4 linked regions of the Xenopus tropicalis genome follow. The protein of the gene in region 1 interacts with the protein of each later gene in a biochemical or structural test. Links are inferred from orthologs where the notes say so. Each region holds a gene or a part of one and is shown in the gene's direction. Other genes may lie near its edges. The genes, in order: nfkbia, skp1, ikbkb and ikbkg.

The links.
Region 2: the proteins of nfkbia (region 1) and skp1 form a complex in vitro, tested with the Homo sapiens proteins (3 studies listed by BioGRID, with this or other methods). The link is inferred for Xenopus tropicalis from reciprocal best matches to the Homo sapiens genes NFKBIA and SKP1.
Region 3: of the proteins of nfkbia (region 1) and ikbkb, one has a biochemical effect on the other in vitro, tested with the Homo sapiens proteins (58 studies listed by BioGRID and IntAct, with this or other methods). The link is inferred for Xenopus tropicalis from reciprocal best matches to the Homo sapiens genes NFKBIA and IKBKB.
Region 4: of the proteins of nfkbia (region 1) and ikbkg, one has a biochemical effect on the other in vitro, tested with the Homo sapiens proteins (15 studies listed by BioGRID and IntAct). The link is inferred for Xenopus tropicalis from reciprocal best matches to the Homo sapiens genes NFKBIA and IKBKG.

What each region holds. Positions count from the first base shown.
Region 1 is NC_030684.2:109,510,056-109,518,221, reverse strand, and holds nfkbia (NF-kappa-B inhibitor alpha), read left to right. Parts: upstream 1-3,527; 5' UTR 3,528-3,647; coding exon 3,648-3,883; intron 3,884-5,053; coding exon 5,054-5,162; intron 5,163-5,514; coding exon 5,515-5,722; intron 5,723-5,825; coding exon 5,826-5,914; intron 5,915-6,027; coding exon 6,028-6,288; intron 6,289-6,698; coding exon 6,699-6,743; 3' UTR 6,744-7,265; downstream 7,266-8,166. UniProt on the Homo sapiens protein: Inhibits the activity of dimeric NF-kappa-B/REL complexes by trapping REL (RELA/p65 and NFKB1/p50) dimers in the cytoplasm by masking their nuclear localization signals.
Region 2 is NC_030679.2:26,565,780-26,573,884, forward strand, and holds skp1 (S-phase kinase-associated protein 1), read left to right. Parts: upstream 1-3,107; 5' UTR 3,108-3,109; coding exon 3,110-3,206; intron 3,207-3,937; coding exon 3,938-4,011; intron 4,012-4,666; coding exon 4,667-4,810; intron 4,811-6,026; coding exon 6,027-6,167; intron 6,168-6,278; coding exon 6,279-6,314; 3' UTR 6,315-6,573; downstream 6,574-8,105. UniProt on the Homo sapiens protein: Essential component of the SCF (SKP1-CUL1-F-box protein) ubiquitin ligase complex, which mediates the ubiquitination of proteins involved in cell cycle progression, signal transduction and transcription.
Region 3 is NC_030679.2:130,603,548-130,610,918, forward strand, and holds part of ikbkb (inhibitor of nuclear factor kappa-B kinase subunit beta), read left to right. Parts: intron 1-469; coding exon 470-599; intron 600-1,559; coding exon 1,560-1,754; intron 1,755-2,251; coding exon 2,252-2,366; intron 2,367-2,543; coding exon 2,544-2,667; intron 2,668-2,776; coding exon 2,777-2,928; intron 2,929-3,603; coding exon 3,604-3,665; intron 3,666-4,233; coding exon 4,234-4,343; intron 4,344-4,475; coding exon 4,476-4,525; intron 4,526-4,856; coding exon 4,857-4,956; intron 4,957-5,037; coding exon 5,038-5,185; intron 5,186-5,645; coding exon 5,646-5,776; intron 5,777-7,371.
Region 4 is NC_030684.2:25,690,447-25,697,817, forward strand, and holds part of ikbkg (NF-kappa-B essential modulator), read left to right. Parts: intron 1-218; 5' UTR 219-250; coding exon 251-431; intron 432-1,789; coding exon 1,790-2,088; intron 2,089-3,063; coding exon 3,064-3,177; intron 3,178-3,419; coding exon 3,420-3,481; intron 3,482-3,562; coding exon 3,563-3,616; intron 3,617-4,108; coding exon 4,109-4,232; intron 4,233-4,813; coding exon 4,814-4,932; intron 4,933-5,533; coding exon 5,534-5,674; intron 5,675-6,901; coding exon 6,902-6,998; intron 6,999-7,371. UniProt on the Homo sapiens protein: Regulatory subunit of the IKK core complex which phosphorylates inhibitors of NF-kappa-B thus leading to the dissociation of the inhibitor/NF-kappa-B complex and ultimately the degradation of the inhibitor.

The sequences.
Region 1 (8,166 bases):
AAAGAAAAATGTAATATCTTTAAAATTATGCTTAACAAGTATACAGGTCAGTATATTCCCCTTATAAACAAGGAAAGGAATCACAATGCCAAACCTTTATGGTTGCATAAAAGTGTTAGTGGTGAAGGTTGGTAATAAAAAAACATGCTTTTAAAGCATTCAAATTAGCTGGGACAGCGGAAACTTGCATCAGGTACAAGGAAGCAAATAAAGCATGCAAAAAATCAGGCAAGCTAAAATAGAGATGGAAAGGGATATTGCAGTTGGTATTGCTGTTGGTATATATGGTTTATGTATGTGAGTGTATAGATAGGTCAGTATAGGTAAGTTTGAACTTGGTGGAGAGAGCACAAAAATATGGCACTAAGTGCAAATGAAATGTGACATTCTGACAGCACTGAATGGGTTAAATACAATCCATCCATGACTATCCAACTGCTTGTCAGCGCGCACACAAGGTGTATTTTGGGCAGAAAATCATACTTTCTGTGAATGAAATGTATCCCATATGCCCACTTGCAGGTTGATGCTATTACTGTAACTACTTACTTCCATGGGAAGTATTGGAAAGGATTGACTGTCATGAAGAAGTCCAAATCAGATAAAGATTGAGAACTGTACTGTTTTGATTGGGATAATAGATTGCCAAAGCATCAGTGCAGTAACCCATAGCAACCAATAAGCAGTTAGCTTTCATTAGTGCATCTTGCACTGTTGAAATAATAAAACAAACTGTGTGACTAGTCACCATATTGTGATAGATTTGGAAATCTGCCACTGATCTAATTGAGGTGTAAATAATGTATTCTATTACAAATGAAACCACTAAGACCCTTGAAGGGGGTGGTTTATTATAACTTGTTATTTGGCACTTAAAAAAATCAATACTTATCTATCTGCAATACTGCAATCTATCCTGCAGTTTCAAATGTGCCCAGCAGGGACCTTTGAAGAAGAATTAGATATCAGGGGATCTCCTGTTAAACCCAACGTGTTGCCAAATTACTGCTGGGATTTTTTTAAAGTGGCCAAACTTCAGTAAAATCCCCGTGTCCTATTAACGTGCTGCAATCTGTGAATCACATAATTTCACTTTCCGATGTTATGCCCCATTAAGTACATTTGCTGGAGGAAAGTTAAGTTCTTTAGGGGGAACATCAGAGGTACTTTTACACTGCACAGAGTCATACATGGCATTACCAAAAGCAGCAGAGGAGAACTACAGCTTCTATTAGGCTTTGCCAGCCGTACTGGAACTGGCATGTTTATTAAGATAGAAGGATCTGTCGGTTAGTCCTAGAATCTGTCCTCCACCTGCAAATTCCCTAAGCAGCTTTATCTAAAGTCCCTGATTGAAAGTGAGGTTTAATGAGCTTTAAGGAACGTTATATCTGCATACCAAATCCTAATCATGGGGAAATCCCAGTCACTGGGCAGTAATATAACAAAGACATTCTGTGTTTTGCATAACAAAGGCAAAACAATCCAAGCACCCAAACCCAAAGTCTGATGCCAAATTTCAGTACTGTATAGGGTGCACTAAGCTGTTAATATGTTACTACAGATTTTGTTTACAATATTTTAATATGGACAGATATGTATGACTATAAGTAAGTGGGCACTACAGCAGAATCTATACCACTATATAGCCCAACACCAAAAGCCACCAGAAAGATTATAGGGTTCATCACAGCCCTGGATGCAAGTACAAGAGCAATAAGGGACACAAAACTCCTTCTTGGTCATGGGGTTTGCAGTATTTAGGGGAGTTTTGGCACCAAATGCCGCCCCAATGTGGCCTAAGGGATGCTGCACCTACTCTCTTAAGGGTATATTTATTATACTGTGTAAGCCAACATTCGATATTCGGTGTATGTATAGTGGATCGACGAAGTGACCAATATCACAAAAAACCTTGGATATTGGTCGTCTTGCCAATCGGGCAGGGTAAAATATTTTGATCGGGCACTGTTGAAGCGCCTGAGCATAAGCATACGTTAAGGGCTGAATCGTCAAATAGGGGTAGAATTCTTATTGTTTTTGCCAATGGTCGCAGGAAGGTTGATAACTGTAACGTGTATGGCCACCTTAACTTGTAGGTGACCATTAAAATCTAATTGCTTATTAAATGCTATATGCAACATCACAGCTGATTTTGGCTTACACACTATAATATATATGCCCCTTGTGTCAGGGGGGCACATCCAGCACCGGATTTCTAAATGACGCGCCCCGAGGCCGCCCCCATTTGGCGCCCCCTACCCGCCGTGCGAGCGCGCATGCGCAAACCACCTCCTCCTCCCCTGCCGCCGCGCTAATGCGCATGCGCCAAAGTTAAAACTCCCATACAGAGCAGTGGGGAGAGGTCCCCATTGCTCCGTATGGGAGCAAAATTTTGAAATTTGCGTGCGGCGGGGCAGCATGCCGCCCCTATGTTTATGCCGCCCTAGGCCCGGGCCTGGGCACATCACTAGTGCAGAGCGCACAATAGTATAGTCAAAGTATTCCATGATGTTTTTGGTTTACTACTTTTATTCCCACACAAGAATTACGGACAGATAACCTTCGGCAAATGGCAATTAAGTTATTTCACCTAAGCAAGGTACCTGAAACTATTATCGTTATAAAAATAATAACTATTAAATTCATACAATCTCATTTCATCCCAACAATAATGCACAAAGGGGCTTATGTTTTTTTTAAAGCAAATGCAAACTGCAATTAGGATTGCCACCTGGAGGTTATTATACTGGCCTGACCAGTTAAAATACTGCAATATCCCAATGTTAACTGGGTAGAGAGATGAAAATTTAGGAAGACCTGTATTTCTTTCCAGTGGGAAAGCCTTACTACAATGCACAAAAGAGTGCAAAATTCCATGTTTCACCCACAATGCAACGTTATTCCCCAGAATCCCAGTGTAATCTTGCTGCTTATGACGCAATTTTTGCAGCCTTTTGGGGAACATTGCGCGAAAGTTGCATTGTTTGTAAACCCCTCGTTTCTGGAAGTTGCTGAAATAAAACAAAATGGCATTAGCATCAATCATTAGGTGCAAGTCGGTTGTGTGTGTGGGTTAAGGTGCAAAATGCAAATGGCTCCCCGGACGTTGAGCTCTTATGTATTTAGCATAATATCAATAGTCTGTCAGACGAAGGTATATTTAACGCATATAAATGCCGAGTATGATGTGGGGAACTAATGTGTATTTTTGCCCGAATCCCCCCAGTGTGTCCCAGGAATGGTGAGTGTGCTGAGAGGAATGTACATGGAGTAGCTGCGCACGTCTGAAAAAAGGGAATTTCTGAGCCTTGTACATATTTCTGCGCTCTTCCTTTTATTGTACCACAGAACTGGCTCCGTCAGGTTCATTGTGTTCCTATACTGACTTATTCTTGGAATTTCCCAGAGTACATAATAGTTCACAAGTAGGAAACTGAGCTCGGCTCCACCCAGAAAAAACCCCGGCTGTATATGTAAAAGTAGCCTGCTGGGGGAGGGAGCTGCCAGATCGCTACCAGAAGTCGCTCTGATCGGATGGGATTAGTATAGAGGAGGCTACAGCTACAGAACTTCACTATCGCAACTGGGATTCTACAGTGTCTTCTAAGCTATTTTGCGGGGAAGCTCAACAACCGGCCGCCGCCATGTCTGTGCCTTTTCACGATTACCAAGGGAATATGATGGAGGGAGAAGCTAGGGATCTCCGGAAGGACAAACTGCTGCAGGACGATCGCATTGATAGCGGCCTGGACTCCCTGAAGGAGGAGGAATACACGGCTATCATTACTGACCTCAGCAACATGAGAATGGAGGGCCCGCCGGACACATCGAACTATGAGCCGGAGCCATGGAAGAAAGAGGTCAACGAAGATGGAGACACGTAAGTGATAGAGAATGGGTTCGTTATATGGCTGGGGATTGTGCTCAGTATCTACTGATATTGTATAGGGGCGATGAACCTTAGTATTAGTACATCTAAAACCATTACATCTGCCTTGCACAGTGTATATACTGATAAAGGGATAGTACTCTATAGTGCTGCACTAATATATATATATATATAACAGGGACACCTAGGTTTGGGGCAGTGTTTAGTGTAGGATATGTAGATATTTACTAATGCATGACTTCTTTATGGTGAATGCACAGTTAGGTGCATGGGGCAGGCTACACTGCATAACACTGCAATTTATTGTGCAGCTTTTTCATGCAACCATAAACATGCAGTATTAGTAAGTTGTGCAAATAGTTAAAAACCCTTGTGCTTTTAATGCTTTTTTTATATCATGCATTGGTATTTGCAAGCATGCAGCAACGCCGGGCAGCTGTTAGATGGCTTGGTGCATGTTTGTTCTTGGTAGGGGAATTTTTTTGTTGGTGCAGAAGAGACGCCATATCTGTCTGGGTTTTCCCTTCTTCGTGTGAGCTGGAGGGAGGGGGGGTGGGAGGACACCTTGTTCTCTGACTTGCTGCCTCAGAGGGGTGGGGGCTGGCAGGCACCCAGGGGCAGGACTCTGGCTTTGGAAAGTCCCTGGCCAGTAGCCAGGAACACAACTGCACACACACACACTCTCACACTCACAGCAGAAAGCGGAAAACAACAGACAGATCTAGAGAAGAAAAAATCCCCAGACTTACACAATTGCATAGTTGGCTGGGGGAGGGGGAAGTACACACTTGTGTCACCACTGACTAGTATTGCAGCTCACCGACATGCCGCTATGATGAAATAGGTTCATTATGAATTATTATTTCCTATTGCTTGGCAGTTTCTAAATTTATGAAGTTTTATTCACCTCGATCTTTCCCACACACTGAACCTTAACACCACTTCACTTACTGGTTCCCAAAGGGGAGGGGGGGGTACATTTTCTACTTCTGAATGATGAAATAGTAAATACAGAAATGACATTTTGTAATAAGATGCTAAGATTGGAAAGCTAGTTTGTCATTTCCCATAAACCTGCTAGTTCATCTTTTCTTTTTTTATGGTTAAATGACACAAATTTGCTTCTCTATTTTAACATGTCCTTTTTATGTTCCCTTCTAGGTTTCTCCATTTGGCAATTATCCATGAAGAGAAAACCCTGGTGAAGGAGGCAATCCAACGTTCATACAGGGACCATTTTTACCTGAACAAGCAGAATAATCTGCACCAGGTAATTTACTTTTTATTTTTTTTCTAAACCTTGTAAAAACTTTATTTCTAGATTAGCTTGTCATGTGCCACCATTGTCGGTTAGGGCAGGGCTGTCCAACTGGAGGCCCGTGGGCCGGATGTGGCCCTCCAAAGGAATTTTAACATATAAAGTATAATAGAGGGCCAGTTTGTGGAATAATTGACCTATGACATGTAAGTTGGCCAGCACTTAAAATATTAATAGTCAGTGCACTCATAGCATGTTCATGAGGGATAGAATATAGTACAAGCTTATTCTGCAAGTTCAATTTTGTGTTTAATGAGAATGAATTTACTGATTTTTCTTTTTTTTTTTAATGTCTTTTCTGCAGACAGCACTACATCTGGCAGTAATCACCGAACAACAAGACATCAGCCAGTCACTTCTCCAGGCTGGTTGTGATCCAGAAATCCAAGACTTCTGTGGCAACACCGCCTTGCACATTGCCTGCAAGCAGGGCTCGCTTCGGGGAGTTGGGGTCATTTTCCAGTATTGTGAGAAACAACTGCCAGCACTTCTGCAATCTGTGAACTATGATGGTATGTATCAAACTTAATCTATAAACCTTTAGACGTGTGTTGTTGTGCTACTTGGCAAATTAGAATTAGAACTGCCTTGCTAATATCTTTCTTTCCGATGCAGGTCACACGTGCCTCCACCTGGCATCGATCCATGGCTATCTTGCAATTGTGGAAAATCTCATTAATAAGGGGGCTGATATAAATGCCCAGGTCAGTATTCCCCCTACTTCACTTGGCTACATACTGATGTTTCTTCCTGCCATGTCTATTGGATTCAATTTTGCCTCTAGATCTAAGAGAAATTTCTGTTTCCCTCACCACAGGAGCCTTGCAATGGTCGCACTGTGCTGCATATGGCCGTGGACCTGCAGAACTACGACCTGATGAAACTGCTGCTTAAGCACGGAGCAGATGTAAACAGAGTCACGTACCAAGGCTACTCTCCGTGCCAGCTCACATGGGGCAGAAATAACATGCTGATTCAACAACAGCTGGTTGAAGTGACACACAAGAATTTGCAGTACCTTCCAGAGAGTGAAGAGGAAGACAGTTCTGACTCCGAATATGAATATAATGATGATGAGGTGAGACCTAGAGACGAGTTCATCATAGTAATGGCATGGGAATGAATGGCAGTTAAACCAGTTTCAAGCACATGTAATAATTAGCCTAATGTTAAAGAATTTTTAATAATCTGTTGGGTTGTGCAGGCCCTAGCAGTTTGGGCAGCTAAAATAAAATAAAGCATTTAGGGTGAGGCAGGGATGAGATTTGGCAGGGGCTACGGAGACTGATAAAACCATAAACCCATCCATTTTTAGATTAGTGATCATCTTCTTCCTTTTAAGTTAGAAAAAAGTGGGTTCAGTAGCAACCCCTGAGTTATGTTTTGGTCCAACATGTAACTCTCTTGCAATAAAGTTGTCGCTTAATAAGGTTTATGTATAACAATTTTTGGCTCTAAATAGTTTTCTTTCTCTCTTTTGTCTAACAGCTTATGTATGACGACTGCATCATAGGGGGGAGGCCGCTGCATTAGACTGCTGTGTGTGAACTAAAAAAAAGAAACTATAAGGACAGACTCTCATTACTAGAGGACAGCACTGGAGCCAGTGACTTCGGGGTAGAAAAGGATCCTCTGAAAGTTGAGGCGTGGAGGTGCTTGTGCTGTTCCATGGTGACCGATGTTCTACACGAGAAGCTTCCTGTGTTACATATCCTGCCGCATCAAGACCACAGCTATGAATTAAAGAGCTTATTCCTTGAGCAGATAAAGAGAGGATGCTGCAGAAGGAACTCTAATCTGTCATTAACATCATTGTGAGGCAGGGCGACCAATACCATGATACTGACAATGCCCTTCAATGCCAACATGAAATAAATGGCTCATAAATACACTGTGTTGAGGACCTGACTAATTATAGCCAGAGAGCAGATTGTTAAAATAAACTACACACTGTATATAGTGTAAATAAAGTACAGAGATTATTTTTATATGCAAAGTTTATATTTTATATAAAAAAAAGAAAAGAAAAAAAATAAATAAATAATTGTTTCCAAATCTACTCTGCAGATTATTTTTTTTTCCTGCTCCCATCCAAGACTCAAAGAACAGAAAACTTGATATCTTTACTAGGATAATAGGCTCAAAGTAAAATCTTGTGGAATAAAAATAAGATCTACTGAGCAAGGCCCACTTTACCTCTTATAAATGTGCAACCTCCTGCCTGTAGGAGTTGCAGTACTTTCTAGGCCTTTTTTAAGATGTAGCACCCCACCCCCACCCTTTGGAGGTCTTTGCATTGGTCAGGGCTGCCTTAGCTACTTCCAAGGTTAAAGCTATTGAAAAACACTGGTATTTTTAATTCATTGTTCCAAAAATATCAAGCACATAAGATCTAAAAACTCTCTCCTAATCTCAACCAACTTGACCTTTAACCTTTCAGGTGTATCTAAGAATCAAATAGGCATTCCCCCAATTATACCTGGCCTTACCCTACCGCTGCTTCAAGCCCACTTAAGGGTGCCAGCCCCAAGTTTGGGAATCACTATTCTATATGATATTTGGAAGGGAATCTCTTTTAGCGTAGAAAGAGTTGTCTCACCTTAATGTTGCTGGATAAACTTCAGTATAATCCTGGATAATCCTATATATTATCAAGGCCAAAAGCATTTGGAGACAGTATTCCAGAAACATAAGTCTTGAATGCTCTGTGTGGGTCTTAATGGCACTCCTCTGTGTATCCTGTGTTATTCAAAAAACATAAGGGATGGAACCTCAAGCAATACTATCTGGTAACAGGTTCCTAAAGTCTACAGGGCCAGTGGTTCTTGGGATGACATCTCAATATCTTTAAATAGCCTTTGGCAATGGTTCCCAAATTGTAGGGCTGGCTTCTATAGGCTGACCCAATCCTTGGCTGCAGGGAACCCAGCCTAAAGGCCAATTAGGGTAAGACTTG
Region 2 (8,105 bases), on another chromosome or scaffold:
TTACAAGGTAAGTTGCCAGTAGATGTACATGTGCTTTCCAGCCCTGTAGTTATTATATAGGAGCGTGTATATGCCGGGCGGCCATAGTTTTCGGCGGCGTCATTTCTAGGCCGCAAAGGCTGCTGTGTGAAGGCCCTGTCTGTGTTGTGTTGGAGGCCGCGTTGTGCGGCATATTCAAGTTCCTACATTACCCCGGCCCTTACCGGCTACCGTCCATTTCTTCTTTACTCACAGGTTTCCTATTAGCATCTCCCTCTATTTCTCGCTGTTGTTTATCCCCGGGTTCCAGACCCCCCCCTCCCCCTTCATTTGGAAATTACGACCAGGAACTCCGGAGGGCAGAGGGTTACTTTGCGGGAAACTAGAACTATAGTTTTCCTTTGTTGTTTTTTTTTTAAAAGATATTATCCATTTTACTGTGATTTTCTAATTTGTAGTTTATAGGCTATTAAACTTTGCAGATATCCCTCATCAGTCTCAAACAAGCGCTTTCTGCTTTCAACAACTTTAAAAAATGTGTGCGGGCTCATTAGCTTTCCTGTTGAGTGTTACTTGGCTACAGCACAGGGGCTCGCTTTTAATTGGTGGGGGGATGTCAGCTGACCGCTGCAGGGATACCCATGCTCATGGGATGAAATCATTACATTTACCTGCAGTGCATAATGGTTTCACCCATCATGTTGTCCTTGGGATTCCATCCTGAACTACTGTATTGAAAATCACTTACCCCCCCTTAATGACTGGCACAGAATACAGGTATCAGGAGTCATGCCTATCAACTTAACTGGGGCCAAGATGGCCCCAAGAGTGTGGTTTCTGATGTCTGCATTCCCTTGCAGGTGATTGGTAGCTTCCTTTGTAGCAAAAACTGCAGTTCCTGTAAAATAATTGGTTATATATAATAATTGATGATTTCCTTTAGTCTTCTAGTCAAAACATACAGACCCTAGGCAGTGAAATCTAAAGTTGCCCAATCATTTGCTTGTGCAGCTACCTTTGATCATGACACAGCTGGAGGAAAACATGCCGGTCACTGCTTGAGCTATGAGCTTTTGTGGTGACATGCAGGTTTCAGACCAAAGATATTGATATTCTCAATATATAGAGAGATACAGAGAGAGAGAGAGATACAGAGAGAGAGAGAGATACAGAGAGAGAGAGAGATACAGAGAGAGAGAGAGATAGATATAGGTATAGATATAGGACATTAAGACATTCTGTGCATTAAGCTACTAAGAAATGACCTCCCCTTTTAGCAATATACTGAAAGCTGGCCAACTATGCCAAATTTAATTCCCGTACTGACTTTTATATTATTTATTAAGTATTTTACTGCTTCATTATACATTAGTACGCAGGGACTGATTTTTACCTGCAGTTTACTTCCTTTTAGTGCAAAAAAATTGTTGCACTTTTTATTGGCCACCATTGAGATCAACAGACTGTAGCTGGGAATGGTGAAGGCTACAATATGTAGAGTGCCTGAAAAAGTATATGAAAAACTTTTCAGTCAACTATTGTCTTAACACCTGCTGACCCAGCCCATCCATACCCAAACAAAATTAGATATATATTCGGCAGGGTTGAAAATCCTACATGGCAAAGACTGCATTGTCACTTTGATGCCATTCTCGTCTGACAAGTCCATGTAGGCTGGACCCACTCCTTATAAACCATTATATTTGTTATAATAAATTAAACAGTATATTTGTTTACCTGGGCACAGTGGACTCTCACATGGAACTTGTAGGGGATCAGTCACCGTTTTGAAATATCCACTATTATAGAGCAAAAGGAAATTGGTCAAACAATAATAAAATGGCATTTCCAAAAGCTTTCTTGATAATGAGTCTCCTTAATCTAGATCCCATACCTGTAAGATTAAAAATGTGCTTAACTACACAATTAAGATTTCAAGTACACTCTGTCCCCTCTAAGATATTTAATAACCAGTCCTCTTTTTAACAGAATATGGTAATTCCTATTGCCTTGTGCTGTTAGTCACTCTGCTCTGTATGTTGCTGTCTAGGCCAAACTTCTGTTATTTTAATTCATAAAGCCTTTGTTTAAAATGAGGCTGAGTGAAAAGCATGGCTCAGGGATAGCAAATGTCCTCTCTGTAATTGGCTGTATGTCAACTATTGATGTACAGATTCTTTTTCTGGGCAGGATGGGCAAATGGCCTCTAATGCAGATTTGGAGCTTGGCAATTGCCATTATCCTGGCTGCTATTGGCAAAGTCATACTGCAGCAGTAAAATGACACCCTTTGTTGGTAATTACTTTGTTCTGCTTCCATAGTTATACCTGCTCAGTAAGTCTTTCCCACATCATATATGCCAGAGACACTTTCCCTTTGTGTACTGCGTGCACACTAATGGTGGCCAGTGTTAACAAGGGTTCATCCATCTCCAGCTGTCCAGCCATTTGCAGTCGGCTGTTAAAGGAGCAGTGCCAGGTTGACAGCTGTTAGAATTTAGTGCATTTTCCCAATTCCTGCACAGCTCTCTGAAAATTGCAGAGTACCGGTAATTGCACATTCCGGATGAGACCCAAAGCTTTTAGCTCCTTATTCTCTTCCTGGTAGTGGAGGGCAGGGTGCTGGCAACAGTTGGCAGGCCCCTTCTTATTCCTACTAGCTGCAGCTTCTTCCCTTTGCTCATTAGGCCGTGCCAGACCACTGTATATTGCACAGTTGGTGTGGGTCTTGGGCAGAGACTGAAGCAACCAGGCACCAGGGCTGTTGTATAGATGATTATTTTTATTGGCCCTGCCTTACTGACAACCAGGGCATGAAACATGATGTTTGCATTTCATTAAAGCAGAAGGAAAGGTATAGTCACTGGGGGGGTGGTTGCCATGTTAGCCACTCTGTGATTCTACTTGCCTACAATGGCCTGCAGTGCACTTGCTGTGCTTGCTGCCATTTTGTTCCCATGTCTCTCCTGCTCACCATGCTTAAATGTGCTTCAGTGCAGCATCTTGAGTTTCACAGCTGCCTTCCTGATCATCTCTCATTGAAAGTACCAATTGATTTTCTTTCTGTTTTGCTTGCAGTAACTTCACTAAGCAGTACTGTTTGTGTTGATTAATGTGTTTTTGTTTTTCAGATGCCTTCTATAAAGCTGCAGAGTTCTGATGGAGAGATTTTTGAAGTGGATGTTGAAATTGCAAAGCAGTCAGTAACAATTAAAACTATGTTGGAAGGTACTTTTTAAAAAAAAATTCTTTGAATATGTATTCTTTATAATTTTGTCCTCTGGTGTGCAGGTCTTCATTTGTTTTTATTCTCCTAGCTTTGAAAGTGTTGGTGTAAAGGCACATTGGGCAATTGAGTGGATTCTCTCCAAAAGCAATCCCTTTACAGAAACAATATTGCTGGGAATTTTTCTTCTATGTAGCATTTGCATGACCTTTGAGTGCACCTGGGTGAACAGACATTTGCAATTGAAATGTCAGGGGTAATTCCAATCATTTTGTCATCCACTTTCAAATTGGGAAATTTCTTGGGTTTGTGGAGGATTATCTTTTTAGGTAGTAGCTCCTTTTACACTGATAAGAGACAGGTACACAGGGTACTTTAGAAAACATTGTTTGTACAATCCAGGATTTGGAAATGATGGAATAAGGGCTTTTTATTAAAAAAAAAAAAAGTTTTGGTGCTGTTCACTACATAACAGGTACACAGCGTTTCAAACTACTCATAACAGCAGTGATCCCAATATAACAAATAAGTAGCAGTCTTGCTGAAAAAAAATTGTCCTCAGAGGAACTGGTTGTAATATTTCTGTTGTGTTTAAATTTATTTTGTGTAAATTCTTGAGAAATCTCTTATTTGACTATAGTTTTAGAACATTGCCTTTCTGTCTAAATTATCTTGGGTTTTTTTTTACATTTTTTTGGCAAGACACAGTTATCAATTAAATGTTTTTAAACAGATCTGGGTATGGATGATGAAGGTGATGATGACCCTGTGCCACTTCCCAATGTTAATGCTGCAATCCTTAAAAAAGTAAGTGCTATTTAGGTAGTGGTTTTACGTATACCCATACTAGAATACTGGATGCAGATTAGAGATTGTTTTTTTTTTTTTTAGAGGTGTTGGTTTGCTGCAGGGATATAATGCAATGTAATTAGGACAAAAAAATTGTACCAGATTCAGAATTGTGTTAATTAAAAAGTTGCAACAGCCTCCCCCCCCCCTACACACACACACACACACACATTATTTATATTTGCTTATCACTGCCAGAAGAAGAACTACTTATAAATGCCAGGGTTTTAAGGCATATTGGCAAGTAAAAAAATAAAACTGAACTATTGGTTATTAGGAACTTCATCCTGCTGTTTGGGGTTTCATATTCTTGAGTTATGATGTATACTGTTTCAGACCTAGAAACACTTGCTCTCTAATTCAGGCAGTAGAGGACATTGCTCCTATTTTTGGTTTAGCTCTTCAAGTGTAGGTTGTTACAAGATTTACTTTTTTTTTTTTTTTTTTTTTTACTAGCTTGAATTATATTAACATATAAACAACAAAATGATGAAATTGAACATATCTTAAGTTTAGCAGTACCACATTGTCTTGGATTCAGGACCTGGCCAACAAATGCAGTCAGTTGTATAAATCATAAAGATAAATACCTATGTACTTTTATTTTCATCAGGTCATTCAGTGGTGTACACATCATAAAGATGATCCCCCTCCACCCGAAGACGATGAAAACAAAGAGAAGAGAACAGATGATATCCCTGTGTGGGACCAAGAGTTTTTAAAAGTGGATCAGGGAACACTATTTGAACTGATTTTGGTGAGGCATGCTCACCAAAAAACCCAACAGCTTTTATAGAACCCATTAGAATTACATAAGTGTATTTCTAGTACTTGTACTTAGTAGTATTAATAACCTTAAAGGGAACCTGCAACTTAAAGTACCACACAGTCTGAAGGTATTGCACACACAACACAGCCTGAAGGTAGTGCACACACAACACAGCCAGTAATTATTTGTGTTTTTGTCCGAAAGAGGTAGGAGAGTTGATATTTAAAAACCTTGCCATTAACATGTTCCAACAAAGTGTGCTTGTTCTCCTGCACTTGAGAGGTAAGGGTGAGCCCACATATATGAAACGTTGTGCATAATTTTGTCCTTAGTGGCTTCAATAAAGGCATCCACATGGCATCTGCATGTTGCTTCTGAGCAATATAGTTTTAACACACATAATTTTATTCATACATTAAAACGTGGCTGCCATTTTACTTGTTAACACATAACACAACAGTTACTAGAAATTTATACACTAATTCATAAAAGATTTTTAAAAATTTACATACACATGTCCATATATTCCTCAGTCAGCATAGATTTAACTTCCAAACTGAAAATGGCTGAAACTATTTTTTTTTTTTTCATCTCAATCCTATATACATAAATTACACTTGCATATTCATATGTAGTGCTTATACGCCACTTAAAGCACGTATGATAACTTTTCCTCATAAAATACCCTTCATTAATTTAGAGCGAGTCCAAAAAGAGCTACTATTTCATTAATATCCATTTAAGGATTTGAGACCAATACTGCACTGCATATTCTAGATGGGGCCTTTGCCAGTGTTTTCTAAAGTGGGAATATGTACTTCCCCTCTGAGTCTGTATACCTTGCTGGCTCTTCCTTCCGCTGACTGGCATTGCTTGCTAAAGCTAAGTTTATTTTCCACAAGTCACCCCAGCTCCTTGCATATTTTGGAATGCCACTTAGCAGGCCAGTCTCCCAGTTTGTCCAGTTCCTCCTAAAGGATGCTACATTCTTGGTGGCACTGATTGAGCTGCATAACTTTTGTGTCATTGTCATAAACATATATTGCTTCTAAGCCAATTCATAAGCTTTTCTGCAGTCTATTGGTACCATATCAAATACAAGGGAGTGTGAGCAAATCAGGGGTGGGTTTGAGTTCTTGCTGGTCAAAAAAAAATTGGGGGCTGGTTTGATTTTGCTTTTTTTTTTTTTTTTTTTTATCTTCAGGCTGCCAACTATTTGGATATCAAAGGATTGCTTGATGTCACCTGCAAGACAGTTGCAAACATGATTAAAGGAAAAACGCCAGAAGAAATTCGAAAGACCTTCAACATCAAAAACGACTTTACTGAGGAGGAAGAAGCTCAGGTATATATTTATACGCTTAAGTTTATTTCCTTTTACAAGTGTGTCAGCCAATATCTCCACTCCAACAAGAGTATTTATTAATGAACCTCTTTTATGCTATTTTCCTTTTAGGTACGCAAAGAGAATCAGTGGTGTGAAGAAAAGTGAAGTTGCATACCTGTTACCACTGTAACACTGTACAAGTCGTTCCAAATCAACTAGTTGCACTGCTCTGTTTATACTAGACAATTCAGCAGCTTAAATTAGCAGGAGGATGTTTTGCTGCATGTGTTGTGTCTGACATTTTTTTTTTTTTTTCTTATTGAGTAATTCAGATCTTCAAGCCGTGTTTTAACCATTGTAATCTTGTGTGATATTTCCTTTAAAACAATAATAAACCTGTTAGCTGCGTGCTTTGAAGATGAAAGATGGCATCACAGTAGTCTACTCCTGTTCTTGCAGAACTGTGTTTTGACAGAACTTTACATTTCCTAGATTTTGGCTTCTCTGACAAGGCAACTTCAGCAGCAAATCACAATGTGTGCTGTTTTGTGTGTATGGCAAAATAATCTGCCTGGAACATGTATGTGACAGACTCTTCTCTGTTTAGTGTAATTGGCCACTCAGGCAGTTATGAGGTTGTGAATTTTTGTTTTTATATAAAGTTCACCTTCTATGCATACAGACACTGATTTCATACTTTAACGAACGTGTCTCAAGTTCATGTGCGAGTATTTATCTTGTGTGGTGTCCCAGCTCTGAATGTCACAGGGAGACTTTAGTGGTTTACCTTTCCCTCTAAAAGCTTAGAGAGGTAGCATGATTTACATTTCCTTAGTGCAATAGATGCTCAAGCATAGTTTTGAGACAATTCCTTGGTTGCTTTTCTGTGCAAGAGAAGACTGTAGCACTGCTAAACATTTACTGCAACAAAGAGCTAAATAGGTTAGTGCAAGAGCCCATTTGTTAAGTCATATTTCTTTTTCTGTTCTCTCACATCCTTAATAGGAGCGGAAAGGTATAATTATTGGGAAGTGCAAAAATGTTATTTACTCCCCCCCCCCCCCCCCCCCCCCCCCCCATTGATTATAATTGCTTACGTGAGACTCCAGGCCAGTGTTTCTGGTTGCTGGAAACTGCACCATCCCAGTGTAATAGGCTAGAAGTTGACATGGTGCTCCTACAAAAGTACCCAGGGTCTCAGATAAGGCACCCCCAGTAATTATACCTTTCCTTCTCCTTATGTGCTTCATTCCTGGTTTCATATTTGGTGTTCCTTGCGAAATCTGTAAGGAAAAGAAGGTTTGGACTTTCCTAATAAACTGACTTTAAAAGGTTTTTTGGTTCACTGCATTGTCATTAAATGAAATTTCATTTTCAGTTGCAGTATCATTTGTTCATTTGTTTGATACATTCATGTGTAAAGGGCATTTGTTGCATTATTCCAACCTCAGATTTATGTAAAAAACAACTTTCACTGACTATCACTCAGTGCAGAATGAATGAAGTCTGTTTTAAAAGTAAGTTTGGGTAAAAAAAAAAAAAGACAAATATTTAAATAGTTGTTGACATTAAGTTACTTAGTTTTTTTGGTAAGCTTAAACTTTTTCTAGCTTGTAGCTGATTCAAAAGAAGGCTGAAAAGGCTTTTGCCTATATGCTGCCTCAGCTGATGTCCTTGTTTTTCCTCCCTCAGACAGACCAGTCTTTCAAACCATAGGGAAAAAAACCCTATAAACTTAAAGCTAATTATTTACATTGACTTGCCTCTGCATTGCATGAAGGGAATATGATTTCTTATCTGACTGGGTATATTGTACCATTCTAAACTTTGGTTTCCACGGGCAAATACACCCCTATCAGCTCTTTACTTTTTCTAACTTATGTGGCCAAATTTAATTTGCTGATTGGTTACTATGTCTCCATTGTTAATAAATATGCCTCTGAGTTTGCGAGGGGA
Region 3 (7,371 bases), on another chromosome or scaffold:
TGGTTTCATACTGAACAGGTACCAAAATTCTCATTGGATGTTTATAGTTTAGCTTAGTTTTGTTCTAGTCTTAAAGTGCCCAGTTGAGCCAGCCCATTGGCTTGTGTTAGAGCCCAAAACAATACCCATACATACTGTTTGATACATAAATGTGGGCAGATATCATTTTGACACAGTTGAATATTCTGTGGACAACATCCATGGCAATGAGGCTCTTGGTTGCAAGATGACTGTAGTTTGCCTAATCAATACCTTAATGAGTCTGAGTGACTCACCGTGTGATATGATCATTGGCTTGATTGGGTGTCAAAAATACTGGTTTTCAATTTAGCTCTATGATGAATCCCAGAGCCTTACAACTGTCAGACCATATTAGTCCATGTTTCAAGTTTGTGGCAGGCTGTCTAGCTCAAGATGTTCGCTACTTGCACATGCAATAAATTGGAATTAAATATTTCTTTTGTTTTAGCAAGCTGGCTGGCAAGTTGGAACACTGGCTACAATGCATGCTAATGTGGCACCAGAGACAGAGAGGCACAGATCCACAGAACCCTAATGTTGGTTGTTTCCAGGCCTTGGATTCCATCCTAAGCCTTAAGGTAAGTGTCGGTATGAAGCTTTGGGTGTACAAGCAACATTTACAGTAAAGAACACAACACAGAATCTGTAATTTTTTGGTGGGAAATCAATATGTCTGCTGTCATGTCCTTTCTTCTGTTTCTTGTTTTCTGTTTTAGCCTTGTCATTCTATATATGGTTTTATTTTTTATCATTCTCTACTTTCATATATCAGTTAAAGATAAGGGTGTACTTTCTCTGAATACATTCCAGAGACACAGGAATCACCCCTGGGGTAAAGGCATCACTTCACAGGACTAGTAGTGGTTAGGTCCAGCTTCTATCTTCATAGCCTTTACACCTCCCAAGCAGTCTTTCCAGTGTCAATTACATACAGTGGGTAGGCCAAGGTCTAAATGAATACAATTAAGTTACTCTGTCCCCTGCAAGTTCCCAATGTGTGAAGGATCCACCAGATGTCTGGTAAATTAAATGGCATTGATATAAACCACATAAAGATGTTGCACACTAAAAAGAGCCATACAAAGGTGGTATTGCAGTTGAAAAGCTTTATATAAAATTATTGTATAACAATAATTCAACATTCATAAGATATGTACACAATATCAAAACAAAAATCAAACCTATACGTACCACCCAGCAATAAACAGCAAAAAAGGTGAAGGCAGATACTCTGGATGAGAGAACTGCCCCAAAGTTTCAAGAAAAGCACCAGAACCAACAGGATAGACCTGCATATATGTTTATACAACACCCTCTCTTAAGATATAAGGACCACAGACCATGTAAGGTGGTTTCTAATGTTCCTAAATGTTGAAGCAGGGGATTGCTTATTTTTTAATACACGTTTCAATGGGCTATGGGTGATTTATATATGATAACCTCACTAAGCACTACTTATAAGGATATATATCACAGGTTTTTATAAACATATATGTTATTGCTGATATATTGATGTACATGTGTATATATCCCCCCAGCTGTTGTCTGTACTGAACATGGTGTCTGGCAAGGTGCACACTTACCCGGTGTCAGAGAATGAAAACCTGCAGAATCTGAAGAGTCGCCTGGAGCAAGACACAGGGATTCCTGAGGAAGAGCAGGAACTATTGCAGGCATCAGGATTGGCCCTTAATCCTGCCCAGCCTCTAACCCAGTTTGTGGTAGACTGCACGGTAAGAGTCTTCTCATGCTCACCGCAAAATGACATTATGAAAGCACAAATATGGCAAAAAAAATGTTTTGTGTCATGTGACACAAGGCTAGTGTGGTTCAACTTAAAATGCAACTTTAAATTATATTTCTGTAAGCAGCCTTTCTTTGCAGGTCACAGTATCTGGTGGAACTGTTAATGAAAGGAAAACCATTGTCTTTTTGACTTCAGAGAGTGACCATATAGGCATATGTTTCACTGCTTAATTACAGCTCTTAAGTGCAATATACAGATTCAAATATTCATATTACTTTCAGTACAGCAAGTGTAGTAAAACCCTCAACTGTTCTAGTTCATTCCACCTGCAGTTGTTCTTGCATTCTAGATCTGACCTTGCCATATAAGATGCTGGCTGCTGGTGGGAGTTGTAACTGCTTGAGGGTCATAGGCCAATATCTTTGTTGTCTATAAACTGGAATTATTTTAATCAATAAGTGTCTTATTTGCTTTTGTCTACAGGTCAATGATGGGCGCCAGGGCGAGGGTGATCTGATATTTCTATTTGATAACCGGAAGACTGTATATGAGCCCCAGATATCACTGCCGGCACATCCCGAGAGTGTCACCGTTATATGTGAGTGCCACTGATATTTGGCTTGTAATGGCAAGGGATATACATGTATATGTATATTCCTCTTGCCTGAGGACTCAGACGTTTGCCTATGCCTTCAGGGTTTATACATCTGTCTAATCCTGAGGTTTGTGGTTTGTTGATGGTGATGTGACACTGTGGCACTTAATTCTATTCCAGTGCAGGATCCCAAGCGGCCCCTCACTTACACCCACCTTCGCCGCGTGTGGGGGCAGACCTGGCAGACAATACGAGCGATGAAAGAGGATTGTGCCCGTCTGCTTCATGGGCAGCGTACCTTTATGTGAGTATGAGAGCTCTGCGTGTGGGTGGGACAGACAGTATGTGTGGCAGATGTGTGTTTCTCCATGTATTATGCATAAGTGCTGAGGGCATATCTCTATGTTATGTAGGGTAAACCTGCTGCGATACAATACTGAACTTTCCAAAAAGAAGAACCTCATGACTTCTGAGTTTGAGCAGCTAAAGGCCAAACTGGATTTCTTCCGGAACAGTATCCAGATTGATCTAGAAAAATACAGTGAACAGATGGAGTTTGGAATCAGTAAGTTACTGGCTGGGCCCTCTGTCGACTTTTATTGCTTAGTAAAGAGAACTATAGTGATTTATTGACTTTGCTGTAACCTCTGACACACTGTTATTATGCACAGCTTTTTTTTTTTTTCTTTAGACAACCACTAAACAGCATTCATAGTCATCATAAATGGCTTTCTGTATTAACAGCAAGCAGTATGGGAGCTTCCAGTCTTCTGTATAAATACAGTTTTACACAGAGGAATGATCTGTGCATATCAAACTATGGCCTCTTAGTTTACAGCATTAAGATAAAATTAAAGCTCTGCTTAGGATACGGAAGGTACCCGTTCTGTTATATGCAGATTTAAAGGAGAACTAAACCCTAAAAATGAATATGTCTAGAAATGCCAGTTTTTATATATTGAACTTGTGAAATGTGAACAGGGCAAAATCTGCACCATGCAGTGTTACTATTGTGAAATAGCATATTCATAAAAGAGCAAATTTCTCTTTATTACTGTTGCTTTTAGCCATACAGTCTGCAGGATGAGACTTAGTAGGCCAGGGTCTAGCCCTTGTATTTTGAGCCTTTATATGGGTTCCTACTTCACACACATCACCTTATCATCAATGATATCTATTAAAGGAGCCGTTCACCTTTACATTACCTGTTAATGATATGAACAATGTTTCTTTCTCGCAGCTTCTGAAAAGCTCCTGTCAGCCTGGAGAGAGACGGAGCAAACAGTGGAACTGTGCGGCAGGGTAAGGAATGAGATGAAATGGGATAATGATACTCGAAAGCCCACTCCATAAATTAAACGTGCTATGTGAATATATGTACCCTAGGGTCTCGGGCTCCATTACTTAAAGGGGCACCGTGGGCAAAACCAGTGCACTGCTTTTTTCCCCCATAGCAACCATTTGCGGTTTGGGCTTGTGTATTGTAATTACAAATTTGGTCTAATTACAAATGCACCCAAATATCCGCAGTCTGCATTGTTTAAATGTATCCAGGTTGTTTGGTTATGGGCTGCTCTTTTCCCAAAATGCAGTATATCCCATTGCATTGATCTTTATGGGGTAAAGGAGGGCTTTAGCTTTGGAACCTAAAGAGAGTTCTTATTGAGCTTCCTGGAGATCAGTGTAGTAGTAAACCCCAGTCAGCTCTTAATGTCAGACCCCAACTTTTACCCCCTGCCAGATCATAAGGCAAGAGAGAAGCCCAGAAATCAATTGCTCATTGCTGCGAAACAAGGTTACCTACCTTTTCAACCACTGTGTGTTGGATTTTCCTTTGTTTTAAGTTCTTTACATTTTTGTTCTTTTGTAGGAGAGGGAAGTGCAGGCTCTTGTGGATAAAATGATGGCTTTACAAACAGACAGTGTAGATCTGCAGAGAAATCCATTAGGCAGGAAACACCGAGGGACACTGGATGACCTGTGAGTGAGGTGGAAACTGTTCAGCCATTGTACTTTCATGTCATCATATGAAGTGTTCTGTAAATTGTGTTGGGGGTTGGCTGTTCTCTATGACGGTCTAAATAAAACATTGTTTTCTACTTTTATTGCCAGAGAAGAACAGGCTAAAGATTTATATCGGCGGTTACGGGAGAGACCTAGAGGTAAGCAGTTATTGTTGCAAATATGGGTAAATAATCCCCTTACTAGTTGTATTTGGCTCTAGGGCCAAAGAGTCTGTATTACTAAATATGACGGGAATACGATGGGCTAGATAACCCTTCTTGCGGTTTAGCACCAGAAACCTGACTCTGTTAATTTATCATGGTATTTAGGCTACCTGCTAGTTACTCAGGAAGTGTAGTTTCAACATGCTCAACTCCATGTGACATGTAGTAAGGATATTGGACTTACCGAGAAGATCTGACTTGCTCTAAACGTAAACGTAAATTTATTTCTAGGAACCCAGCACCAATGTATTTTTTTTACCTGTAGATCAAAGGACAGCAGGAGACAGCAATGAAATGGTGCGCCTCCTAATTCAAGCCATCCAGAGCTTCGAGAAGAGAGTCATCCTTATATATGACCAACTCAGGTCTGTGGCAGCTCCCTTTTATCCTTCTCATCTCCATGATTTCATGCCGGCTTTACTGACTCCTTTCCCATCTGCCTGCAGTAAGACTGTGGCGTGCAAGCACAAAGCCCTAGAACTATCCCCAAAGGTGAAAGAGGTGATGAACCTAATGAGAGAAGATGAAAAAATGGTGGTAAAGAGGCAAGAGAAGAGACAGCAGGAGCTGTGGAACCTGCTAAAGATTGCTTGTGTAAGCAGTGTGTGTGTATGTATATATATATATATTACAAGACCACGGGAACCTTATGCTCACACATTGGGTAATGGAGTAGTGTTAGAATAGACATTCCCTGGCCAAATACAATTAAAACAAATCTGTGTTGCAGTTACACAGAACAACCAATCTTTGGTTTTGTAGGCTAACTTGCAGAAGACTAATTGCTAATTTGATGCTATGGGTAACTGCTCTGGTGCAATTAGCACCTATGTTTATGAATCGGATCCTCTGTGTGCTACATAATTGTTTATTGTGTTGATTATCTTGTTATAGACAAGCTTCGTCATCAGATTATAGCCGTCAGTGATCCAGTCTGAAACCCACTGTTTTCATGACTGTGTGCCTTTGAGCTCTTACCAGAATTAAATAGGAATTAGGCTCTGTGGTGCACAAACTGTTATTTATACATCCTCTGTGTTACTGATCCCCACAGAGCAAAGTCCGTGGCCCTGTGAGTGGTAGCCCAGATAGCTTGGGCACATCTCGAATGCCTGGCCCAAGCCAACTGCTTTCCCAGCCTCCTGCCCTCTCTGCCAGTCTAGCCCAAGAGTATGTGAAGAAAAGGTAAGTGCAGCCCTTGGGTATACAGAAGAGATGGTAGGACGAGGTAAACTGAAGTGAGGATGAATGGGATATATAGGAGAAAAGAAACAAGATGGAATTAAAAAAATAATCACATACATAATGGAACAGTGGAAGGACTTTTTTTTTATAATCTCTTTATACATAAACAATTTTTTTTTAAATAACTTGTTAACAACTTTGGTAACATAGCTATCCAATTCAATATGGTAAGAAGTAAGGAAAAACTGGAATAATTTTACACAGTAAAGAATAATTTAAATCAGGAAATATGATTGGTCTTTATTAGAATTTATATGCTTGGGTTTAATATATTTTAGTAAAATTCAATTTGTATCCTGTGGAGATTGATGCTGTTCTTGTGTTCTGAGAAGAAGGACATTTTAAAGGGAGACTATCACCCAAATGAATATTGCCTTTCTGTTTATATGTATTTTATAATCTCACCAGTAACATATACCCCCTTAGGGGCCACTCTGCTGTCAGGTATCCCTGCTGGACTGTACATAGTACAAGGGATTACCTAAACTAGGTACCCGTTGAATGCCGGAGCACAAGAATTGTGCAGAGAGAATGCACAGAACAACTTTAATCAAGCAGGGAGCCAATATGTTGCAGCAGATCACATGATTTTACAACAAACACCTTCAATAAACTGCTCGGAGTAAAAATTAAACTGGGTAAAACAGACTGCGCAAAATAAAAAATATTTCTTATGTAGTTAGTCAGGCAAAAATGTAATCTATAAAGGCTAGAGTGGACAGATGTCTAACATAATGGCCAGAACTCTACTTTCAGCTCTCTAACCTCTAAGTCAGTGACTTTTGCTTTTGCAGAGCTACATACACGGAACTGCTCCTTTAAAGGGTAATTTAGCCATCACTGGCACCTAGCTGCATTCAGAATAACTCAGGGATAACATAAAATTATCATATAACCCTTCCTGCCTTCCCTCCCTGATGTGGTCTCTGTTGGAGCAGGGTACCTGTACTGACTCCATGGCATATTTATACCACAAATACTTTTTGATTCTTAACTTAAAAATCCAGGAGACAAGTCAGACAATTTAAGCACTCAGGTGCTCCACAAGACACGTTGCAGGCAATAGACATGGATCTGTTATAGCAGGATACCATGGGCTGTTTTTCTTCTGGGAGAGCAATAAGAGTTAGCTTAAGGAAGAGTAACACCAAAAAATGAAAGTATAAAAGTAACAACAATGTTATGTACTGTTGCCCTGCATTGCTACAACTGGTGTGTTTGCCTCAGAAAGACTACTATAGTTTATATAAGTTAGCTGCTGTGTAGCCATGGGGGCAGTCATTCAAAGGAGAAAAGGCACAGGTTACTTAGCAGATAACAGATAAACCCCCATTATATGGGGCTTATCTACTAGTTATCTGCTATGTAACCTGTGCCTTTTCTCCTTTTTTCCAGCTTGAATGGCTGCCCCCAGGGCTACACAGCAGCTTATTTATATTGTAGCTTTTCTGTAGCAAAAACACCATTTTTTTGCAGAGCAACAGCACATTATATTTTAATTACTTTAAAACACATAAATTTGTTGATGTTACTGT
Region 4 (7,371 bases), about 84 Mb from region 1:
CACAAACGTTGAGAGAAGGCAGGCACTCTGGTATTGCAGTGAAGAAAAGCAGTTGTTCAAAGTTATATATATATTTTCTTTTGGCTGTCCTTAAATATTAAAAAGACTTTATACTGAGAAATTAGGGACCAGAGCATGTTCCCCAGTTTGCAGAACCTGCCCATTGTCCTGTGACGTCCATTTGGCTAATCAAAGTTTGATGTACCTCTCTCCCTCAGGTAAATAGACTGACAAGCCCGGGCCGCAGTGAATGAACGTGCGAACGCAGACAGCGGAAATGGTGCAGCCCAAAGAGAGCTCTGCCGCTGAATACAACCCATGTGAGGGGGGCCCAGGGGACACATCCCTGGGGAAGCCTGAAGTTCTTCCTCCTGAACTGACCAGTAACGAAGCCTTTCAACGTATATGGGCAGAAAACCATGACCTGAGAGGTTAGTAGCCAAGGACTTCCCTGCTTTGAGTGTACTGGTAAGTGTAATCAAATTCTGGGATATGGTGTCCTTCAGAACTTCCAGTCTGATATATATATATATATATATATATATATATATATATATATATATATATATATATATATGTATATATATATATATATGTATATATATGTAAGATGCCTGCCTGGTTGCTAAGGTTATTTGAACCATAGCAACTAGATTGCTGTTGAAATTCCACACTGCAGAGCTGCTGAACAAAAAGCTAAATAATTCAAAAACTGCAGGGAAAAAGTGAAGACCAATTGTGAATTGTCTCAGAATATCAAGCTCTACTTCATACTACATGTTTATTTTAAGGGGAACAACCCCTTCAAACATGAGAAAAGATAAGTAGTAATAGTATTCTATATGTATATAGCACTGATATATGCCAAGCTCTAATGCTGGGGGGGGTAGCCCAGCAGGATCAGGGGGCCTGAAGTTAGGGAACAAGGCTCTATGCAAATGTGGTTGTTAAAGCCCTACTAGAACTTGAATGGCAGCCCTCGTGGCTAAGGGGTATATTTATCATGTTGTGTAAAAAGTAGAGTAAGACATTACAGGTGATGTTGCTCATAGCAGCCAATCAGATGCTTTGCTACTGTTAAAATCTAATTGCTTAATGGTTGCCCTGGGCAACATCACCGGTAATGCTTCACTCCACTTTTTACACAGCATGATAGGCCAATACACTTAGGGGTATATTTATCTGTATAATCTATATCAGTGCTGTTCAACTTGAGGATCACAGGCTAGATGTAACTCTCCAAAGGATTTTTATGGCCCCACAGGCACTACTTAATGACATCATCATTTTAATTTAACCTGCCCCCTCCCCCCAACATGCTGTAGGAGATATGACTGACCCACTACATGTAATAAACTGGACAGCAGTGGCCTATATGATGCAAACACACAGTTGTTACCAATGGAAGGTAAGGTAACTGTATCATGCATTTAAATGCATACAGAATTAAATTATTGGCACTACTGTCCCTTTATGTTGTCACTGCTAGGGTAAGTAAGTAATCATAGTTCTTATGTGCCTTAAATGGCTGGTTCTCTCATTAAAACCACTGCCTGGTTGCTAAGGTAAACAAGACCATAGCAACCAGATAGCTGCTGAATTGTCAAACTCGAGAGCTGCAGAACAAAAAGCTAAATAACTGGAAAACCACAAACAACAAAAAAAGGAAAAACCAATTGCAAATTGCCTCAGAATATCAACGTCTACATCATGTTTAAAGTTAATTTTAAAGGTGAACAACCCCTTTAAGTGAATTTCTTTATCATTTGTCCCCCCGCCTTCACGACAGCTGCTCTAGAACAGAGCAACATGATGTTACGCAAAGGACATGGCGACATGCTGGAGTTTCAGGATTCGCAGAGAAAGGAGAGAGAGTTCATCACATACAAGTTTGGTGAGGCGCGGGACCTGGTGCTGAGGCTTACCAATGAGCGAAACTCCCTGCAGGCGCAGCTGGAGGAAGCCATGAAGCAGCTGGCAGAGGTGAGAGAAGAGAAGAGTCGAGGGAGCACAGAGAATGAGCAGGGGCGGCTGGAGGATACCATTCTGACTGACCGAAGATCCCCAAGGAAAGCGTATGAGGAACAGGTACTTACTGCTCTCACTGGTAACTGAATATCTATTAATCTAACTCTTACATTTCTATGGAGTACACTGAAACCCATACACCATTTATTATACTTTTTCCTGAAGCTTCGATCTAGGGCTAAAGTGGCAGAATGTATGGAGGAGGATCAAGCTACAGTATAGCAGCCGCTGAAGGCAGGCAGTAGACTGGCCAGTAACTTCCTGGCTACCCTGCCGATGGCCTGGGTTGCACATTAAAATCTTTTATGGTGCAATATAGGGTTGGCCTTTTCTATGTGCACAGCTGCCCCCGCCCGGGGGTTAGAAGTTTCCCTAGCAACATAAAGTTGCCACAGAGAGAAATACTCAGAAATTTCTAGTTACACCGCTGCATTACCTTGTCCTGCTAGACCCATAGATTCTCATGCCAGCTAGACTCATAATGCACTGGGAGAGTGAAGGAAGATTGCATAACAGTACTCTGATGGAAAGTTCCCTGGGCTAGTGTGTTTTTTTTTTTTTTTTTTTTTTTTTTTAAGAAGTGGAGCACTGGCCTGGGGTAGAAAGGAAGAGACTTTAGTCATCAGGCACCAACCACCCCCCCCCCCCCCACACCCTTTTTATCTATTGGGCATTCTCTTGTTACTTTCTATAGCAGTGATTTCCCAACCAGTGGCTCACAAGCAACAAAACCGCCAAACAGAGCCTCCTGTAGGCTGCCAGTTTGCATAGGGGATACCACTAGACAATCACAACCCATGTTTGGTACCCCTGGAACTTTTTGCTTGCATGTGTTGCTCTCCAGCTTTTGTAACATTAGAATGTTGCTCACTGGTGAAAAAAGTTGGGGACCCCGATCTATAGGATTTCTCCCTTTGCATTTGGATCCATCCGAGACAGCTAGGCTCATCACATACTCTGCCCAGTTAGAAAGTTTGCTCTGCCTGACTCCTCGGCTTGGCCCCTGTGTGACTGCTCCGCTGTGTCTGTCGTTAGGATTACGCCACCCCAGGGAGCTCTTTGTCCTCATGTGAAACACTGACCCACAGTATCTGTGAAACAATCAGGCAGACTGTGCCAGATGAAGAGGGGCCATCCCGAAACAAGCAGGTGAGATACACAGACCTCTGATCACTTCTATTTTCCCGCCCTGCATTTGTTCAAGTACAGGGATTAAGGTGATGGTCCTGATTGGTTGACAAGTAGAGGCCTGTTGTACTTTGATTTAATTGGTGTCCTGCAGTTAAAATCATGAAAACACATTTTTTTTTTATAAGAGCCCCATCATTGTTTAACAACTTTCCAGAGACCTGGTCCCATGGTTTATCATTATTCTCTTTCACTTTCTACAGAAAGAAAATGGCAACAAGGAAGTTTGTATGGAAAATGAAATCATGCAAGGAACTGTGGACCGGTGAGCCTGACGTAAAAAATGTAACAAGTTGCTATGTGTATGAACTGGCAAAGCAGTTTATAAATTGTGTGTTTATTCCAGGAACTCTAGAACTGAGCAGGAATTCCAGAAGAAACTGCAGGACGCTGAAGCCAGGTGGGTAGCTACATGTAGTTACATAGGGTTGAAAAAAGACCAGGGTCCATCAAGTTCAACCCTTCTAAGTAAACCCAGCAACACACAAACCCATACTGACCTGTCTTTATACTCGCATACATAAACCATATATACCAACATAAATACTAACTGTAGATATTAGTATCACAATAGCCTTGGGTACTATGCTTGTCCAAGAACTCATCCAGGCCCCTCTTAAAAGCATTAACAGAATCTGCCATTACCACATCTGTAGGAAGGGCATTCCCCAACCTCACTGCCCTCAGCATGAAAAACCACCTACTGTGCCTCTGGTGCACTGATGGTTTTTATGGGAAAAAGAACATTACCTATCTGCCTGTAATCCCCTCTAATGTACTTGTACAGAGTAATCATATCCCCTCGCAAGCGCCTTTTTCCATGTATAATATAAGGGACATCGTACACTGGTTTGCTCACAGGCTGCACTGTAAATATATCTTCCCAATGCAGGAATACTCAGTTTCTGCGTCAGATTGCAGATCTACAAGAGGAAGTATCTAAGCTTAGGCGCCAGGTGGTTGAAAAAGGAGAGGAATCTCAAAAGCAACTGCAAAGTTTGCAACTGCAGATGGAGGTGAGAATTCTACAGTGTTATTCAGGCCTAAACAGGCAATCTGTGGATTCAGGCAAATGCCAGAGGGGCTGCTGTAAGATGCCATAGACATTCACTATTTATTGGGCCTGGGGGGGCTGTTTGGGTCTCTGTGTACTTTAAATTCCAGGGCCTATTTTGAACCCCAGTCTGGGCCTGGTGGTATTACAGTCATGATATATGTACAGGTACCATGTGAGAATAATATAATGGGTTATACTGTTTCAAAGATGTTACGATGAAACTATTACAACTGTAAATGATTAATTTATTTTTGTTTGAACCTAATTTGGGTCCCCTGAGAAAAAGAATAAGAAACACTGGTTTAGGGACATGATCTGCAGCCAGAATGATGAAAAAAAATAATTTGTTTTTATATATGGTTGTCCAGCTGGCATTCCATGGGCCAGCTGCAAGTTTCCAAGGTATTTTTTGCCCCCCAGCCTCATAAACATCAGTATCAGATCCTCTGCTCTATATACAGTATTAGGATTGATATAATTATGTTATAGGTAAATGTCATATTAAGCAGAATTAACAATATCTTGGTTTTGATCTTGCAGCAACTGTCTGAGGAGAGGAATTCAGTAAAAGCCCAGGTGACCTCTCTATTGGGGGAGCTGAAAGAGAGTCAGACAAGTCTGGAGATCTGCCTGCAGGAAAAGAGAAAGGTAGAGGACAGGTTAGTACCCCATGGGAAACAGTGATGGATGCCTGCGTTGGTCACCCAGGAGAAGAGGATGGGTCAAAAAATCTAGGGCAATGTCTTTTGAAAGTATAAGTAAAACTTTTAAAATTAGTTGATGTAAAAATGATGAGATGAATTTTGTAATTTACATGTTATTTTTTTCCCAATATATTGAGGGTTAAAAGTACTGTTAATATGAATGCAGTTTTTAAACAGCACCACCTGCTGGTCACTTTCCAAACATGAAGTAGTTTTAGTGCTTAGAATAGCATTCTCATCAAATTTACATCAACTTATTTAAAAGGTTTACTTATCCGTTAAACTGTTGCTCATGCGTACTTGAGCCGGACTTGATTCAACCCTGTGGCACTGACCATTCATGCCTCTTGGTTGGCCCTCTCTATGGTGCCATTTCTGTCTCATGCTGAGAAGGCACTGTAACCAGAAAAAGGTGTCACTGTCCCTTTAAATTTAGCAGTGCTGTGCAGGTTACCCTGGTGCATAATGTGAGAATGGTTTGCTCCATAGGAGATGTGATTGGTCTATACTCTTGGAAACAGCTTGTGTGTGCCAAGTGTTTGATTTCTCTTTGCAGCCTCCGTAGTGCCCTGGAGGAGAAAAAGGGCTGGGAAGCCCAAGTGAAGCAACAGGTTGTGCAGCTTGATCAGCGAATGATGCAAGTACAGAATTTGGAAACAGCGTTAAAAATGGAAAGACAAAATGCCACAGACGAGAAGTAAGAGTCAGGATTGTTAGCTATTGCTTCAGGGTTATCAGCTAGCATGGAGGGTTAGTAGCTGTCCTGGTTATAAGATCCCATGGGGGTCATTAGGGGTTCAACTAACTGGGGATCTTAAGCTACCCTGGCCTGGGTTGCTGCCTTTTTAGCAAGTGAAAAAATGCAGCGCTACATATTAAAGGGGTTGTTCACCTTTTGAATTAACATTTAGTATGGTGTAGTGCAATAATCCCCAACCAGTGGCTCGTGAGCAACATGTTGCTCACCAACCCCCTGGATGTTGCTCCGAGTGCCCCCAAACCAGGTGGCAAGTTTTGGTTGAATAAAAACAAGACTTTCTACCAAATAAAGCCTCCTATAAGCTCAGGGTGTGCATAGAGACTACCTAATAGCCAATCTTAGCCCTTTTTGGCATGTCCATTAACTTTTATGATGCTTGTATTGCTCTCAATCTTTTTACATTTGACTTTCGCTCACGAGTAAGAAAGGTTGGGGACCCCTGTCGTTTAGAGTGATATTCTCAAACGATTTGCATTTGATCTTAATTTTTTATTTAGCAGTTTTTGAATTAACACCTTTTGTTCAGCCGCTTTCTGGTTGCTAGGGTCAAATTTAACCTAGCAACCAGGCAGTGGTTTGAAAGGAAGGCATGAATATGATAGAGGGTCTACATAGAAAGATAAGTAATAAAAAGTAAAAAAATAATAAAATTGTAGTCTCACAGAGTAGTTGTTTTTTGGCTAATGAATAGGCCTTTCTATAATATACTAAAAGTATAGTACTAAAAGTAGACGGGGATTGGTCCAGTTGCTGTTTGAGTCAGGTTTAAGAATTTATCCCTCTTCTAAGGCCAACTGTAGACTGCTTCATAGGGGGCTGTTTTTCTTTCAAAAATGATTGTAATCACTTACCTGATATGCCTGGCCGATGCGCTTTTAGCAGAAAACTGCACTGAACTGGAGTACCTGCGAGTGAGCGATCCTCCTAAGCGCTCAGTAGTCATAATCTGGCTTAGATATGGGTGCACAGAGGATTTTGCCTGGCCTGGTTCAAAGGATACTGCTATCACAAGCTGGCCTAGTTATGCCTAGGAGCTGGTTTAGTTATAAGCTGGCCCCATTATAAGCATGCTGGGAACTTAGAGGCCAACCTAGTTTGTTTCATTTGGCTGCTCAGCAGCTGCCTGGGTGGGTGGGCATCCTCCTAACTTTACTCTCCCAACAGGAGGAAACTGGCACAGCTTCAGGTTGCATATCACACGCTCTTCCAGGAATATGACACACATATCAAGGTCAGCATGCAGCAAGCCAAGCACACCAAGGTAGGTTGCACTGCAGGCCTGGCTAGCACCATGCATAGACTGAAAAAGTTAATAGAGGTTATTACTTAGATACTACCATATAACCATCATTGCCACTAGTTATACTCCATAGACAGATTCTTGCCTGGAGAAGGAAATATTTAGGTACACAAGAGATGGAAAATTTCTGCTGGAAGAAGCCTCAGGCAGTCAATATTCATTGAACCTGTAGGGGGCTGTATGGGTCTCTGCTTCTGCTATATGTGTAAACCAATCCCCAGGTAACTTAATGTTACTGAGTAAAGTTCTGCTATGTGTCACAAAACCCCTATGAGCCCAGCAGCAGCTCATGGTGTAAAGAATGCAAAGGAAATTAAAACAGCAGATCTTAAAG